Linked DNA regions of Bombyx mori. The protein of the gene in region 3 binds, or shares a complex with, the protein of the main gene of each other region. Links are inferred from orthologs where the notes say so. Each region holds a gene or a part of one and is shown on either strand. Other genes may lie near its edges.

What was found.
Region 1: exosome complex component RRP41 (region 3) and exosome complex component CSL4 share a complex: the UniProt entries of both Homo sapiens proteins name them as parts of the RNA exosome core complex. The link is inferred for Bombyx mori from reciprocal best matches to the Homo sapiens genes EXOSC4 and EXOSC1.
Region 2: exosome complex component RRP41 (region 3) and exosome complex component RRP45 share a complex: the UniProt entries of both Homo sapiens proteins name them as parts of the RNA exosome core complex. The link is inferred for Bombyx mori from reciprocal best matches to the Homo sapiens genes EXOSC4 and EXOSC9.

What each region holds. Positions count from the first base shown.
Region 1 is NC_085132.1:3,511,574-3,517,274, reverse strand, and holds exosome complex component CSL4, read right to left. Parts: upstream 3,173-5,701; 5' UTR 2,812-3,172; coding exon 2,641-2,811; intron 2,245-2,640; coding exon 1,996-2,244; intron 1,670-1,995; coding exon 1,424-1,669; 3' UTR 1,409-1,423; downstream 1-1,408. Other genes in the region: COPA (coatomer protein complex subunit alpha), read left to right, coding at 5,093-5,320. UniProt on the Homo sapiens protein: Non-catalytic component of the RNA exosome complex which has 3'->5' exoribonuclease activity and participates in a multitude of cellular RNA processing and degradation events.
Region 2 is NC_085119.1:13,154,731-13,161,135, forward strand, and holds the start of exosome complex component RRP45, read right to left. Parts: upstream 3,709-6,405; 5' UTR 3,672-3,708; intron 3,593-3,671; 5' UTR 3,558-3,592; intron 2,466-3,557; exon of another isoform or gene 2,397-2,465; 5' UTR 2,002-2,396; intron 1,825-2,001; exon of another isoform or gene 1,773-1,824; intron 1,676-1,772; exon of another isoform or gene 1,585-1,675; intron 1,462-1,584; exon of another isoform or gene 1,231-1,461; intron 1,119-1,230; 5' UTR 1,068-1,118; coding exon 1,002-1,067; intron 931-1,001; coding exon 836-930; intron 172-835; coding exon 1-171. UniProt on the Homo sapiens protein: Non-catalytic component of the RNA exosome complex which has 3'->5' exoribonuclease activity and participates in a multitude of cellular RNA processing and degradation events.
Region 3 is NC_085134.1:3,234,757-3,240,975, forward strand, and holds the start of exosome complex component RRP41, read right to left. Parts: upstream 3,647-6,219; 5' UTR 3,227-3,646; coding exon 3,056-3,226; intron 2,701-3,055; coding exon 2,628-2,700; intron 1,202-2,627; coding exon 1,065-1,201; intron 426-1,064; coding exon 221-425; intron 1-220. UniProt on the Homo sapiens protein: Non-catalytic component of the RNA exosome complex which has 3'->5' exoribonuclease activity and participates in a multitude of cellular RNA processing and degradation events.

The DNA of each region.
Region 1 (5,701 bases), on a different chromosome or scaffold from region 3:
TTCACGATTGACTTCCACGGTGAAGGAATAACATCGTGTAATAAAAATCAAACCCGCAAAATTATAATTTGCGTAATCACTGGTGGTAGGACCTCTTGGGAGTCCTCACGGGTAGGTACCACCACCCCGCCTATTTCCGCCGTGAAGCAGTAATGCGTTTCGGTTCGAAGGGTGGGGTAGCCGTTGTAACTTTACTGAGACCTTAGAACTTATATCTCAACGTGGGTGGCGCATTTACGTTGTAGATGTATATGGGCTCCAGTAACCACTTAACACCAGGTGGGCTGTGAGCTCGTCCACCCATCTAAGCAATAAAAAATAAATAAAAAAAACGTGCGCCACTATGGAAATATTACAGGACAATATAATCACATAAAACAGTTAAAAGAAAATGTAACTACAGAAGAATGCATTGTACATAGTGACTTTAGTGAAAACTACAACACAAAGTATGCATCCGAGATCCAGTCTTTATGGACTGTATGGATACATCCGTGGTCAGCATTTTGGCGCGTAAAATAAAGTCTGTCGTTTATAATTGAAAATCTTCGAATTTTTAATGAAAGTTCCTATTCGTCAAGGGTGTTTTGAGCTTTCATTATCTCATTTATTATTTCATTATCTAATTAACTTGCCATCATTATAATTATCTCGGCAGTCTGTCACAGGTATTAGTTTATTTATTGGCAAAAAACCATTCTTTTCACCTCCATCACCATCTCTCACACACCTCACGTCCCACACGCCAAATAAGGCGTAATAGTAAAAGGTATTTTGATTATTAAAATGCTTTAATACAAAATGCATTTTTCTATAATTCTGGACCTCCTCTAGAATTTCTTAAACTTTGTGGCCCGCCATTAAAAATATTTGCCCACCACTACTACAGATATTATCAACTGCCGTCCTTTCTTAAGACATGTGTCCTTACAGTCTGTACAACTGTAACTCATTACCTAACGCTTCAGGAAAAAATAAGCCAATGGAAATGAAAACCAATTATTATGGAAATTAAAATTTTTACAGGTTTGATTTTTATTACATGATGTCAATCCTTCAAGGTGAAAAAAGTACACTTAAACTTTTAGTTATTATGTTTTGTTGCTGCTTGAAGAATGCAGTCCGTGGGAGTAACCCAGAAAAACGAATATGTTAACAAGGCCGCCGAAGCGGTACAGCTGGTGTTCAGGGGTACTACCTTAGACTAAAACCAATGTGCTTGGTTACAGCCAAATTAATACCCAGAGTTTGCGAGTATTCAACAGTCAGCAAAAATTTTTAACCCTTGACTTTGGTAATAGTTTTACTCTCATAATCAACATTCCAAGTTTCAGAAATAGATTAGAGTTAATATAATTTTTTATGAATACATTGTTTGCCTAAAATTTAATAAAATAAAACATGTCTGTAATTGAAATAAAAATTATTTATCAGTGTGATGATTGTCTTGCTTTGAATGAACTGGAAAGAGTGATTGATTAATATTTTCCGGTATAACTCTAGCAACTTTCCTTGGTTCTTTGACTAGAGTTTTAGGGCACTGCATCTCTGACCAGCTTATTGGTACCATGCTGACCCCTTGCGGTGATCCTTCAGCTGTAGCGATAACAACTCCCAGTTCATTTTCTGCAGTCGATAATTGGTACCAGTGGATTTCCGTCATTGGTAACTGAATTCCAGTTTAGGAAAATGATTATATATTATTTAATATTCAGTGAATATAATAGATGTATTTTTCAAGCTTGAGTAGACATAGAGTTTGATGTTATACAAAACCAAAACTGCATTCTATTTTGCAGTATAATCATAATTTCTAAGCAAATGTGACTCCAAAATCCCACAATGCTCAAGTGTTTCATGTGGTAGGCAAACTATAAGGTTAGTACATAATGTAAAGACCCATCTAATGAGTCAAATACAAACAAAGAGTAAGTCATTATTAAAAGTGAAAAGGTTTTTTGAATACTAACAAGTTTATAATATTGTAAAGGATACAACTCTAGCTAGTATAATATCTCCAGGTCTAAAACATTTATATGGATCAACTCTGTCTTTCTCTGTTGCCTTTATATCTTCTTTTTTTAATATTCCTTTGTACATTCTAACAAGTACTGAAGGGCCAACACAGAGGATTAGGCATTGTACAGTTCTTGGATTTACAACTGTTACTTTTGCGGTTACTATGTCACCTGTGTTGGGTAAAACACTTGGTGTTCTTGAACTTTCTACTGAAATTATATTAGCCTAAAAAATTTTCAATCATTAGTTTAATTTATAGGTTTTTTCATTTGTTTCATTTTCTATTTTGTTGAAATAGAATTCTGGGGTGAATTTAGAATTTCATCTGCTATTGCATAAAAAAATATTCTGCTGCTAAAAGAAGCGTCTGCTTGAAATAGTGAGCAAGCCTAAACTAAAGACCATAAAACCGAGTGTCCATAAGTGTCTTCTACAGGCAGTAAATTCCATATGATATACCTGTTAAGCTACAGTACCTATCTTCGTCCATGGTAATGTAGTGTTTTGCAGAGCATATTTATGGGCATTTTAAGTCACAATTAAAGAGGCACGGATGACGGTTGCAATAAAATCGTTTTAGCAATCAGTGGCAGCTTATACAAAGACTGTAACGTTATTTACTTTGGTGTTTTCATCCTCTTCTGTTTTCAAGATTCCAGCTAAAGCCGCATAAATATATCCTTTCAATTCATAGGTTCCCGGCCCTGATACGTTGTCTTTGTTTGATAAACTCAGTCGCATTCCAGGAATACATATTGAACCTATTTCTTTTATTTTTTCTTCCAAATTCATAATGTAGTAGAGGTTAGAATTTACAATTTAACTTGAACTACAACTTAAAGTTCGGTTAGATTATTTTCGTCACAGCTAAAACGTGTCTTTAATTGTAAACTGTCTTATAATAGTGTGTTGAACTGTGTTGTTTATTAATTCCAGTTACAGTTTGTTATTTGTTATGTACATAAGTTAAGATCACAGAACACTATTACTTCTAGCGAAGATAAGATTCTCAAATAAATTAGGTGTATAATCTATGGTTATGATCTTTTTTTTAATCGCGTAGTGAAATCATAGATTATACAAAAGTGCAAATGTTTTTTTGTTCGTTCTTTGATTAATTAAGTAAAAGAAACAAAGTTTATAGAGCTTAATCATTTCGTAATAGAGGGTGACATTTCTTCCATGAAACGTACAACGCAACGAAATCAATTTTTATTTAAATTGTTGAGATGTGACATTCCCTTTGTAAAATCCCGGATAACTCAGTCAGAGCATGAGACTCATAATCTCAGAGTCGTCATTCGAGACCCACGTTGGGCTATTTACATTTTGATCTCAGGTAAGCTTTTCTCCACGTGCCCCTTAGGTGCGAGGACCTTGTAAACCAAGAATAATAAAAATATTTGCGTTGTCGACTGGTACTACTGGAACTAATGTGGATTTACTGTAGATCATTCATTGGTGGTGTGAGCCAGCACAAGCAAATACCAGTACTCTGCCTATTCAATTATTCTGTCACGAAGCAGTAATGCATTTCTGTATGAAGGATGGGGCAGCTGTTGTACTTTAATACTGAGACTTAAAACTCATATCTAGGGATCGATAGTGGCATTAAGGTTACGATGTCTCTGGGTTTTATTTCAGAAAGAAATTATAAAGGACTTGGCTTCTGCCTTAATGATTTTTTTATTTCAGGATATAATATAAATCATATAAGACCTGGCTTCGGCTTTTTTGAAAATTCATTTTAGAAATTATATACAACACACAAGGCTGTATGGGTTTAGATCCCCTTGCCTTTCCTAATAAGGAAAAATTGAATCAAAAAATGTCTATGGGCTCTAGTGACCACTTAATACCAGATGGGCCTGGACTTTGTCTCGTCTCTCACTCGTCTAAATAATTAAAAAATATTGTTGCAGTAAGCAATGGCGTTGCTGGCTTTCCACTTTACTACTTTGACTACTTACCAGGTGGAACGTGTGCTCGTCTCCCTACCACGGAAAAAACGTTAGTAAGGAAGAGGGTACCACCACCACTACCACCAGTATTTGTTTTTCCTCTATTATTTCATCTACTAAAATATCATAATCGACTTGGATGATGCAAAATATTCTCACTTATTTTCGTAAAATCTTACTAGCCATAATAATATATTTTATCTACATAATTAATTACTGATTATTGTTAGTGCTACGATATGGTTCGTGAAAATCTATGTTATACTGACATCTAAGTTGAAATAAATGATTTTTGAACCTTATTTATATTATTAACTCAAAACACTCACAGCTAACATCGTCTTGGCTTATAGGATAAGACATCCGGTGCATTCGTGTTGAGCGATGCACCGGTGTTTCGAATCCCAGGCGGGTACCAATTTTACTAATGAAATACGTACTCAACAAATGTTCACGATTGACTCCCAAGGTGGAGGTATAACATCGTGTAATAAAAATCAAACCCGCAAAATTATAATTTGCGTAATTACTGGTGGTAGGGTCTCTTGTGAGTCCGCGCGGGTAGGTACCAGCATTAGTTCTGCCGTGAAGCAGTAATGCGTTTCGGATTGAAGGGTGGGGCAGCCGTTGTAACTATACTTGAGACCTTAGAACTTATATCTCAAAATGGATGGCGCATTTACGTTGTAGATGTCTATGGGCTCCAGTAACCACTTAACACCAGGTGGGCTGTAAGCTCCTCCACTCATCTAAGCAATAAATAAAAAAGCTAACCATTGATTCATCAGGAAAGATAAATTTAACTCAACCAGGCTACCCGACTCTCAAAGTTTTTTAATAACGCTAATTATACTGATGATTACAACCATTAAGAAGATACGAAATATGTGATTTTAATTGGTGTGTTTATTCGTTTCCATTCAAAATTAGTTAATGATTTGATCAAATTAACATCGATAGTTTTGTTCAGATTTGTCGATATTTTCAATTTTGATCAATTACAAGCTCAGCACTATTCTGTGTTGGACGTGTCACGTCAGCCGGTTGGCTGTCATTGCGCTTGTTTTAATTTTTGTAGTTTTTCGTATTATTTCAGCGGTGTTTGAATCAAAATGTTAAAAAAATTCGAGACGAAGTCTGCGCGGGTGAAAGGCATATCGTTTCATGCTAAGCGACCATGGGTGCTGGCTAGTTTGCACAATGGTGTGATTCAACTTTGGGATTATCGTATGTGTACATTACTTGAGAAATTTGATGAACATGATGGTCCAGTACGTGGAATTTGCTTCCATATTCAACAGCCTCTTTTCGTGTCGGGCGGAGATGACTACAAGATTAAGGTATAAGCCCTAATATGCCGTTAGTTCTTTTGCTAGTATAATTACAATTATTGTTGATATTAATCTGTCATGCTTTTGACACGTATTCCGGGCATGGAATGTTTGGTTTTGTGCATCTTTGCGAAGGCGAAATGTTTTTAGATTTTAATAATTTTATAAGTAAGCTAAGATTAAGACAATGTTATTTTGTTTAGTTTCAAAATTTAAAGCACTGATATTACAAATTTTAACCATTTTTGTTTTGATAAAGAACTGATTCGTTAACAAAACTTAGGTTTTTATAATTTCAAGTATTTTGTCCAAATGCATGCAACAAAAATGCCCTTCTAAAGCTAGTACTGTATAATGCGTTTATTGAAGTTTGAACACAATGTGAATGCT
Region 2 (6,405 bases), on a different chromosome or scaffold from region 3:
TTGTAACATTTTTCTAATAATCTTACAAGATAAACAGTGAGATCTGTTTGTCTATTGGCTTCAAACTGTGGAGCGGCCATAGGATTAAGTTCAACATTAATAAATATGATGCCTTCATTTGGTCTTATTTGTTTTGGCTGAGCGACTTCACATGTGACTTCTGATAGGATCCTGAAATTGAGTAATTTACTTTTTAGTTACCCATGTCCCCCAACTCCAGTGAATGCCACCAATGAAAACAATTTTTCATATTCTACAGATCTCATTGGGCACTAGGGATCCCACACCAATGTAATTTTAAGATAGTAGTCATTTAATATTGATAGCTTAATATTACCCTTTAGGTCAAGTTCATAAATAAGTAAGTAGCTCATAAGGCTTTAGCAATTTTAGGACAAATTCATTTAAAGTTTAGGTGTTATTCTCTTATTCATCATATCTGAAAACTGTTAATTAATGAGCAATGGAGCATTTCCTTGTTGCTGTGCTGGTTCACAGATCACAAAGACACTCACTTTAAGACATGAAGTCAGTTAATTGTATTGCAAAATTTCTATCCAATATTCTGTGATAGTATTCTTTTATGTTAACGATTTTTTACTTTTCATTCAAGTTTATTTACATAATATCATTTTAACATTTTCAAGATGTGGTTAAATTAATAACAAAATAAATCAATCTAAGAATACAAGACAGGTCTACTGAATTTGTTTCTCTATATCCTTCAATTGTTCTATCTATCCAATAAACGCTGTTTAAATACAAAAATAACAGTATATACTGCTTCATTTACTTTGTTTATTTACAATTTGTTAGTGATTCAGTTCCAACTTACTTCGTTTCTCCCAAAGACACAATACAGCAACCATATTCAGAACCAAATGATATATCTAGTTTTCGGGTTTCATTAAAATTTCGACCGTCCAAGCGCTGTAATCAATTTATTTCCAAATTACTTTTGTAGAAGAGTCTTAGGTTATATTCTATTAGTTTCAACTTACATGTCCTTGAGATACGATCTTTTGTATGAAATTCTTTTCACAATTCGATAAACAAGTATCACGCATTTTGTTATTGGTTCATATTTTTTTGTGAATATTCTGTTTAAAGAGGCATACCTAGCAATAAATGTGTGATTATTTTTCTTAGGTTATCTGTTAAACTTTTTTTTTAATTCCACTTGTTCAATTAAACAGGCAAAGGGAATATAGCCTAAAGAACTAAACCAAATGAAAGTCACACCTTTAACTGTTTAATTTAAATTAGCTGTGATTAAATTAAAATGACCTGTCATATTGTGAAAATTTATTGAAACTTCAAAGGAATTATTGTGGATTATGGAATTACTCTACAGCAACTGGTGGCGTTTGCTACATATAGAAATGTACTAGGTACTTCCAAAACCTTTTTGGAAGACCTCGAAAAGTCACGTCCACAGATTTTGTTTCACTTTTTATATAGGTACGTTAACAGATACTAAATTTGAAGCGACATCGAACTGTGAAAATGATACAATTCTGATCATGCGCTCTTCGGCTCCTGGTTAATCCAACCTAGATAAGTCTCGACCTCAGATCTTAATTAATACTTAAAACTTCACGAGAACTGCGTATATTTCACGAGGAGCGTAACAACGTTCCGGAGAGATCCGTACTGTGCTACGGCTCGGACAAATGTAAATATTATAAATATTATATAATAATACTTAAAATGTATATATTAAAAATTTTAATTCTATGATTGATAAAAATTACATTTTGTTCGAACTCTAGAGTAGCACAGGAGCTCAAGTAATATCTGGGGCACAGGTGAACAGATAGGCAGGTACGTAAGCGGCTGACACAAACACAAACTATATAGGCACAAGCTAAGATATGAATAACAACACCTGGGATATGGGCAGAGCTCGAAATTCAAATTGTATTCTATAAACATCTTTCAAACCACCAAACCCCATTAATGTTTTACTGCTAAAATAAATAATATAATTATTTTACTTACCAGTGCTCTCTTACATATTCGATGTGAGCTTAATGTCCCAATTAATACGCAAACTACATTTTTTTGCGTAGATAGGTGAACGAGCTCACGGCCCCACAACCAACCCAGGGAACGCCAGTTAACGATCATAGGTCAGTTTGGTATGATACCTACTAAAAAACACTTAACCATTCTCCGTTGAACCATCCTTAGACAACCTTTACAACACCCATGGGATGAGATGGGGCGGTGCTGCTATTCTATGACACCGCACATACACCGATTTTTGAATTGTAATCTTATTTATGTTAAAATGAACTGCGTAATGTAAAGGTAAATAACCACCGTATTAAATTTTCTAATGGTTTTCTAATGTAAATCATAAGGCATTTGACATAGCATTGACAGAACGCGTGCTGCAAATATGGTAAAAGAGGATGTAAAAAAACTGAATATCGTTTAAAACAAATGCTTCGGTCGGAATTAGGTATATTGATAACATAGATACTTAAGAGCATGTAAAGAATGAATTTGACAGTTTACAGAAAATCGTTGTTTTGCGGACCAATGAACGCCACTACATTTAGTTGCCCACTGAGTTTCTCGCCGGATCTTCTCAGCGGGTCGCGTTTTACAACCGGTGCTACCTAGATTCTGCGAAGCACAGCTCTTGCTAGGGCCAGTGTTGGCAACACTCCCGGCTTGAGCACCGTGAGCCCACCTACACCCTACACGTTAGAGTGAAGCTGAAATAGCCTCTAAAGCTATCACATAGATAGGAAAAAAATACATTCGTTGGTTTCCGGAAATGGGCCAGATTTTTGACTCATATCCAGCAAAACAATAACTGCTTTCAAATGACGTTCTTTGGAGCAACAAAAGTTATTCAGGAAAATTTTATGCCAACTTTCAAGGTAAAGTAATATTGATAAACAATGGACTTTTATCAGCACGTGTCTGATGCAAAATACGTTTGCAAGTTCCGATTGAAGCGGCGTATCAATTGAAAGAGCGTAAAGTAAGTTTGAAGCTCTATGAATTGCCAGAGGCAGCCAGAAGTGAGTGTATTTAAAAAAGTTGATATGGTAATGGCAGTGCTCACAAAGTAGTTTGAGAGCCACGTGGTAGAGCATTATGGATTACCCAATACAATATATTACGTCGTTTTCTCAGGTTCAGATTTGTATAAATGAAAATTCAATAAAATCAATAATAAATAAATTGTAGTATCCGAAGCGAAGCGAGGGCAGGTCGCTAGTCGACTATTAAAATCACACAGCTATTGATTTCGAGTAGAAATATTCAGTCTAGCAAACATAAGGAAGATGCTACCTATCGCAATCTATCTATAGCTAATTTCTGAGTTTATACTGGTCACTATTTTCGGCACATTCTGTTAGGAGTAATGTAAAATTCGGAGAAATTGATTTAGTTGATCCACTGCATGGGAGATCTTCGGCATGATCTTGTACTATCCGCTCTTCGTTGCCCTATGTAGCTTTTTATTGAGTTATTACCTCGTCACGAAATATATCTATATATGCAAAATATCCTATGTCCTGGATGACTATACATACAAATCACAGGTTTCTGCTCGCGTGGTATACGGATCCTTTAGAATGTAGACCTAAGTTTACGGAGAGGCTTTGGTTATGTATTTTTTACCACGCGACCAGCTTTGGAAAACACACCTCACTACACCCAAGAGAAATAAAAAAATGAAAACACGTACAACTCGTACAGTGAGTGCCTTTTATAGAATCACTTACTCCGCGGACCACGGAATAGATAAATAAGGTTATATATAAATATATAAATAACCTTATTTATTATTATATATTTATATATAACCTTATATATAAATATATAATATTTATATATAAGGTTATATATAAAAATATTATATTTATATATATATTTATATATATATATAAATATTATATATTTATATATATATAAATATATAATATTTATATATATAAATATTATATATTTATATTTATATATATATAATATTTATATATATAAATATATATAAATATATATATATATAAATAAGGTTATAAATAAGGTTATATATAACCTTATTTATATATAAATAAGGTTGTATATAAATATATAAATAACCTTATTTATCTATTCCGTGCCGCGGACAATCCAACTCAAGGGTAAAAAACTCTTCTCCACAATATTCTCCGTTAGCATATAGAATTGTTATGTCCATAAGCTACAGTAGCCCTTTTTGCGAGGTGCTCCTTGTACAATCGTGCTATAATTTGACATAACAAAAAAAAAAAAAAACAAAAAAAAATCTTATATATTACATAAACTAACAACCTAGTTTTATATGTAGGTACCTACCACAAATGTGATCACATATGACTATCACCCTAGTAATCAGTTATGCCGACATGCCATTAATGTACTATTGATCATTTTGTAAGAACGAAAACATGAAAGCTTTATGTGGATGATACCTTATAAAAAAACTATATTATTTTGTATTTTGATTGAAGAACCTTTATAGGATGATTTTAGTATTGAAATTTTCTAGTTGCGGCTTTAAGCAGGTGGCCTCTTTGAATTAAAATCGAATCTGCATGGACAATATTCCATTATTGTTTTTTCAAACAAAAACGTTTATATTTTTAATATTGTTGAATTTCTGTATTTTATATAATCTTGTAGCACTAAAAATTGTTAAATTGTTAAAGTAAAAGCTTTTTTAATTTTTTTAATCGCTTAGGTGGGTGGACGAGCTCACAGCCCACCTGATGTTAAGTGGTTACTGGAGCCCATAGACATCTACAAAGTAAATGCGCCACCCACCTTGAGATGTAAGTTCTAAGGTCTCAGTATAGTTACAATGTCTACTCCACCCTTGAAACCGAAACGCATTACTGCTTCACGGCAGAAATAGGCAGGGCAGTGGCACCTACCCGTGCGGACTCACAAGAGGTCCTAGTACCTATATGTATATGCTTTGCTACGGCGTTACAAAAGAAGGCAACCTTATTTACTACTTTGTTAACGACTTACAAAAATGATGTACTGGAAACTTCACAAACCATAGTATTTGCACCAAATTGGCTCGATAAAAAAACGATCGAGTTTTATTTATCTATGAGATCAATTACTGCAGTACCGCTGCAACAGTATTACTCGGAAATCTAACTAAAACCACATTCAGGCTAACGTTATTTTTTATAATTAATCAAAATTTAAGAGCTATCCACAATATTTCGCGCGAGCGTTATTTTTATATGCGCTACAACTCACGGCGGACAAGCACGACAAACGCATCATAATATTAGAGTCGCCCACTCCGTTGGAAAAGAACTGGTACGCCTGGCGATCGGCCACAATATAGACGAGTAAATAACTTTTCCACATGTAAGTAACTAAAATACTTTTTTTTCCTACCTATGCTGATAGCCTTGAGAGGCTATATCAGCGTTACCCTAGCGTGTAGGTGAGCTCTCGGAACTCAAGCCGGAGGTGTTGCTAACACTGGTCATACCAAGAGCAGTGCTTCACAGAATCTACCACGAGATCTGAAACGCGACCCACTGAGAAGATTCTATGAGAAACTCAGTGGGTTATAACACTTCCTGGGTTATGGATTTGCCAGAAAGGGATGATAAAAGAACAAGTAAACTGGATGTAACCGGAATCTTTAACAAACATATTCATAGTTGACCTGAGTGGCAAAAGTATTAACGAACTATTACTAACGCGATCGGTGCAATAATATAAAATAATATTACATGCCATGATTATAAATAGTCCCGGAATGAGACAAATTATTCGAATAAACCTGTATATAGCGTAACGTTTTCCTACGTTTGCCGCTATGGGCGCTGTTCCAACTGCACAGAAATTTGAATTAACTTTTACACTATCGAGAACGTTAAAAAACTCGCACTAACCACCCAGAGTGCAATCTATGCAGCTTGATGGGTCAAAACAAACCAATGCTAATGTTGTTTATGTAGGTACCACATATAATTTTTTTTATTCATCGTGGCGGCAAATAAAAAAGTTAAAAATAAAACAAGACAGATTTTTGCTGGCATTTCAGTGAAGGAGTTAGGTAAGTATGTCGATGTAAGTGGGGGTAAATAGTATGAAATTAATGGAACTGTTGTTTTCCATATTCAATACCCGGTAGTCACATGTAATCGTAGCCGGGTCCAATAGTTTCAAACAATAATAATATGTACCTAGTATATGTATAACTTTATGATACAATTTTCGGATTAACAACAGAAAGTGGTAAATCTCATGTACCTACTTAACGGTTTTTGTCATTGTTCCTTGTTATTATATTTCTAGTTTTTGTCTAATCTATTAGGAACTAGTAGAACACAGTACCGTTAATTCTAAGTTATAAACAATTTTTAAACATGACTTTTAGTGGCATTT
Region 3 (6,219 bases):
AATGCGCCACCCACCTTGTGATATAAGTTCTAAGGTCTCAGTATAGTTACAACGGCTGCCCCTTCAAACCGAAACGCATTACTGCTTCACGGCAGAAGTAGGCAAAGTGGTGGTACCCACCCGCGCGGACTCACAAAAGGTCCTACCACCAGTAAATAGCATTGGTCTACTTTGAGACAATTAACATCTGAAGTTGCAGTGACATGGTAATTACACTAACCTGTGCTGGGTAAGCTGGCTACGGTCAAACATACTCCATCGGCTGCTTCCTCGATGTGACTAACGTCCACCAGGGGCTCGTGGGTGGCGCTTTGTCGGCCCAGGGACGCCGAGCAGGCGGTCACGTACGCTCTCAGAGGTATACCAGAGTCTATCAGCGCTAGACTGGCTGCATTCACGCTGGCACAATACGTACCACCATCGGCCTGTTAAAATACAACTTGTCTGGGTGGATATCTTATGCTTCTTGCTAGGCAAACTTCAGTTGCACACTTTTTTTTGTATAATCCCACTATCCATTGAAACAGTCTGTCCCTTTGTCTCATGTTAGGAACTGAAAAACCAGCACTGGTACGCAGAGAAAATATTCACAGTTCATTTTTGTTTATATAGTTTGATTAGCATTACATTTCTCAGAAATAAGTCATACAGAACAAAAATGGAAAAAAAAATTTGGGGAAAAAACCATAAACGCTTAGTTGTTTGAACACTTGTGACCGCTGAACTTCAAGCAAGCTGTGAGGTCACCTGCTCTTGACTCAGCTATCATAAGGATGGGTGAAAGGCCATTTCGTTTAAGCGACATTTTTGTTACTTTACAGGAGAGCCATTTAAAGTTTAAAATTTGAAAAAAATATCGCAACAACAAAAACTTCTTCAGCTATTTGAATGCGGTAAACTTAACTGAAGTTCAATTAAAAACATTGGATTGGTGATACTAATACTAAATAAAACCGACCTTTAATTAGAAAGATAAATATCGCATAGTAAACGAAATGTCGTATAACCCAAATAGCATATAATCCGTCGATAAGGATTTAAAAAAAAAAAATTATATGTTTTACCTGTAATACTTCTATGTATATATCTATTTGCGACCTTGGATACATTTCAGTTTTAATAGCAGCAGTTAGAGCTTGTCGGAGATGCATTGACATTTCTTGTGACTTGCGGTCCCCGCGAGGTCGGTTCTTTCGTTCACCTAGATGCGAAATGTTCGATAATAAGTCGTTTAGAAGTCGTCGTGGCCTAACGGATAAGACGTCCGGTGCATTCGTGTTGAAGCGATGCACCGGTGTTCGAATCCCGCAGGCGGGTACCAATTTTTCTAATGAAATACGTAATCAACAAATGTTCACGATTGACTTCCACGGTGAAGGAATAACATCGTGTAATAAAAAAAACCCGCAAAATTATAATTTGCGTAATTACTGGTGGTAGGACCTCTTGTGAGTCCGCACGGGTAGGTACCACCGCCCCGCCTATTTCTGCCGTGAAGCAGTAATGCGTTTCGGTTTGAAGGGTGGTGCAGCCGTTGTGACTATACTGAGACCTTAAAACTGTATCTCAAGGTGTGTGGCGCATTTACGTTGTAGATGTCTATGGGCTCCAGTAACCACTTAACATCAGGTGGGCTGTGAGCTCGTCCACACATCTAAGCAATAAAAAAAAAAAAAATAATAAGTTATGTAGCCTAATAGGCATATATATATAATAACCCTTATAAGTTGTGTAGATAAGAATATTCATATCTTTGGGTCTATCTTAGTTTCTTTTTGTACTGACGAGGGAATATCCTAGTTTTAACTTTTAAATGGGTAGAATACATAGACATCGCAGTGTGTATAATGCCACCGATTTTGAGAGACAGTCAAAATCTCAAATGTATTATGAAACTGCAAAGCATGATTGCTTCATTGTAAACATATAACAGTACCTACTTCTGCAGGCTTATCACATACATAATTGTATTGTTTTCAAATGTATAACATTTATAATATAACTGCCTATCTGCCAGCTATATGCTTACCTAAATTACATATTATATTATGTGAGTGGAGAATTTTTTTTATTCTCTTGTAGGCAGACGAGCATACGGCCTACTTGATGGTGAGTGGGTAACCACACAGTAATGTCGCCCATTGACTTCAGCAATGTCAGGGGCAGAGCTATTGCCTGCCGCTGACTGTGCTTAACACTAGGATAAAATGCATCCTATTTAATTTCCCATAGTAGAGTTTCTTTCATTTTCATGTTATTATTTGCTGTATATTTTCTAACATATAATGGCACTAAGTAAATTCCATAAAACTTTAAATGATGAAAACTTTTTGCATCTTTTGATTAAAATAAAACAAAACCTTTATTCTGTTACAAACAAATTTTTGTCCACCATAAAAAAAACTACACGTACGTAGTAAACGTATCTGGTTCAGTAGGTCTGATGATGTGCAGGAACAAATAAATGTACACACTGAAATTAATTCTAAGATTGATTGGAAATCCACGGATGTTATTAACTTGTGTATTTTTAATGTGCGATTAAGCTCATACAGATTTTTTTCTCTATATATAATCTCATTTATTTGAAGAGGCTTTTGAAAATATGTTGAACTCTCAATGGGTACCTGTTGAGAATGTAGCCATACTGTATTGGCAGTTGACAACTACAGCTTCTGTCGACATCTTCGATTTTGAAGCCTGAAAAACATTTTAAATTATAATGAAGGTTTTTCATTTATGAAGAACGTGTCCGAAAATGAAGTACCTAAAATGTGTAAATACATATTTTTTACCAGCTACTTGGTAAGAATTTGGTTACTAAAGCTGAAACACATCAAGACGTGAATGCGACCTTGGCACATGGGTCGATACTTCAATATTGTAAAATAGCTGTCTTATTCTTCAAGCCAGAAGGCATTACACTTTTGTAGCAGAAATAGTGCAATTTTGTAGCAGAAGTAGCGGGATAGTGATGATTATTTACTCAGGCAGATTTACAGACGTTTTGCCACGGTAAACTAATCAGTATTTGTAAATCGTTTGTATCATATACCTGATGGGGTCCATACACGGCTGCAAGCACTTTCGTGTTTCCTTGTTCGAGATACGCACTTCCATCAGGCTGGGTGAATACACCAAGTTTACATCTTATCCGACGTAATTCATTGGGTCTCCGCCCGTCAAGACGTAGTCCTTGACTCGAGAGTAGATCGGCAGCGGGCATTATTTAACTTCTAACAAAAACACATTAAAAAATAATGAATTGTTCAATATGTTGAATTGTTTTGTTAAAAATATTTGCTTTTTACTATGTTATATTATCATAGTCGATTCCGTTTTTAAAATTCGCGGTGATTCTAATAATTCATGAGATTGGTTATGGACGTTATGGTTATTAAAGAATAAAGACTAATAAATATATTATTTTCGTTCAATTATTTTTTAAACTTTATTTTGTAGGTTATGTTATCGTGTTTTTTTTCAGGGTAGTGTGACCTGGTAACTAAGACCTTTAAGTCATTTCTTATTTTAATTTATATTATTATTTTTATGCAAAATGATAATATGGAGTGAGATGAAATGAAATGAAACGAAGATGATTAATTTGAGACATTAATCAACTGAGATGAAATTAAATGAAATGAGATGATATGGGATGAAATATAATCTCAGTAAAATGGTGGTTATTTACTAAGATTTTTCCAATTTAATGAGCAACGTGTCAGGCAACTTGTCAGTGATGTTGAGTTGGGTGACCGCCGTCCTTCGCAGTTTTTACGTTATCTTAGATCATTGGCAGGAAAAACCCTCACTGATGAAAATTTGCTTCGCCAGCTATGGATGCGTCGCCTCCCACAACATCTCCAAGCAATTTTGGCCGCCCAATCAGAACTCTCGCTGGACAAAGTCGCTGAGCTAGCGGACAAAATTTTGGAAGTTTCGCCTGGTATGGTCGCACCTCATTCATCTGCTGTTTTCTCAGCAAGTACGTCTGCCGTCTCAACCCCTTCGTTAGAAGATATCACACGGCGTCTGGATGAGGTCACGCGTCAGCTTGCTGTGCTTACTGCAGAGCGCGGTAGAAATAGGACCCGGGATTTCTCAAACCAGCGACGACGCTCACAAACGCCTGGTAAGCTTCAAATGTGCTTTTACCATAGGAAATTTAATACTAAAGCTGTTAAGTGTATTCAACCATGTACCTGGACGCCGCCGCCATCTTCGGAAAACGACAAAAGCAGTCAATGATGGCGACGTCTGACTGCTTAAAGGAGAGTCGCCGATTATTTGTCACCGAAAGCGCAACCAAGCGCCGTTTTTTAATAGACACAGGCTCCGACCTCTCCTGTTACCCATACCAGTGGTTAGCAAATAAGCCGGTACGTTCAAACTATACGTTAGCGGCTGCCAATGGTAGTGAGATACGCACTTTTGGTCACATAGAAATGGCGCTTAATTTGGGGTTACGCCGCACATTTCAATGGCGATTTATTATCGCTGACGTCAACACCGCCATCATCGGCTCCGATTTTCTGGCGCATTATCGGTTGTTGCCAGATTGTGCCAGTAAGAGACTCGTCGATAGCATTACCGGGTTGTCATACGTTGCTGCCGTCGCTGTTTTAGACCAGACCAGCGTCAAAGTTGTCTGCGCGCCGTCATCCCAATTTAGTGCACTTCTTGCGGAATTTCCGTCCATTACGAAGCCACCAGGACTTATTCGTGAGCCGAAGCATAACACAGTTCATTATATTCTAACCACTGAGGGCGCCCCAGTCTCTTGTCGTCCTAGACGTCTGGCACCTCAAAAACTTCAAGAGGCCAAAAAGGTTTTTGATGATATGGTACAGTGCGGGACAGCCAGACCTTCGAAAAGTTCGTGGTCTTCTCCACTTCATATGGTCCCTAAGCGCGACGGCACCTGGCGACCCTGCGGCGATTATCGTGCGTTGAATTCACGTACCATACCTGACAGGTACCCAGTTCGCCATATCGGTGACGTTGGCCATAACATATCTGGGTGTTGTATATTTAGTACCATCGACCTCGTTAAGGCATATCAGCAAATTCCTGTTGCGCCTGAGGATATCTGTAAAACCGCCATCATAACACTCTTCGGACTCTACGAATTTAATTACATGACTTTTGGTCTGCGCAACGCAGGCCAAACGTTTCAAAGATTTATAGACGAAGTTGTCCAAGGTCTCGATTTTTGCTTTGCGTACGTTGATGACATATTAGTGTATTCCCGTGATGCTCTTCAACATGCTGCACACCTTCGTACTCTTTTCAAGCGATTTGAAGATTACGGAATCGTTATTAATCCAGCAAAATGCGTGTTTGGTGCTCCTGAGGTTACTTTTCTCGGAAACAGAATATCCGCCGACGGAACACAACCACCATCAGAGCGCATTCAAGCTCTAAAAGATTTTCCTCTACCACAGACTGTACAAGGACTCCGTCGTTTCATTGTGATGTAAACTTCTTAGTTGAAATTCAGTAACCAACTTAAAGTGTCTACCAATAAGGAAATGTCTCCATTTCTTCAATGATTCCACAATGGCGTACGCTTCTTTTTCAATGGCGGAATGGTTTTGTTCGCTTGAATTTAACGTTCTTGAATTGATACACAGCAATCCTGACTTTTCATACATTCGGCTTCCAGATGGCCGAGAAACAACAGTGTCGAATCGTCATCTAGCACCATTGGGTTCAGAAAGGGTAGATCTGCGAATAGATAATGAACACACTATTGATTATCATAACGTCGCAGAACCACTTCCGGAAACAGAAGACCAAAACTTGGAGATTCCTTCATCCAATGAAACGGGACCTGTGGTACTTGATAATAGCAGAGAGCTAGAGACAGAATTACCATCATCACCACCGCCGGAGCCAACACTTCGTAGATCTGGTCGCGTCCATAAAACGCCAGGATTTTTGAAAGATTATATTTTAAAATAGTGCGGGAGAATGATGTAAACTTCTTAGTTGAAATTATCAACCATAAGTTGACGTCATTGTCAATCTGTTTTATTCGTTATTTGTCAATGTATCTAATGTAATGAAAGCAAATTTTACTGTTAATTTTAGCTTATTAAAACCTTATATTCAGTAAAGGTTTTCTCTTATTTCTCATTGGGATGGTTAATTATTATCGCCCATTTCTGCGCAATGCGGCCAAGTTACAAGCACCGCTAGTCAACGCGATCGTGG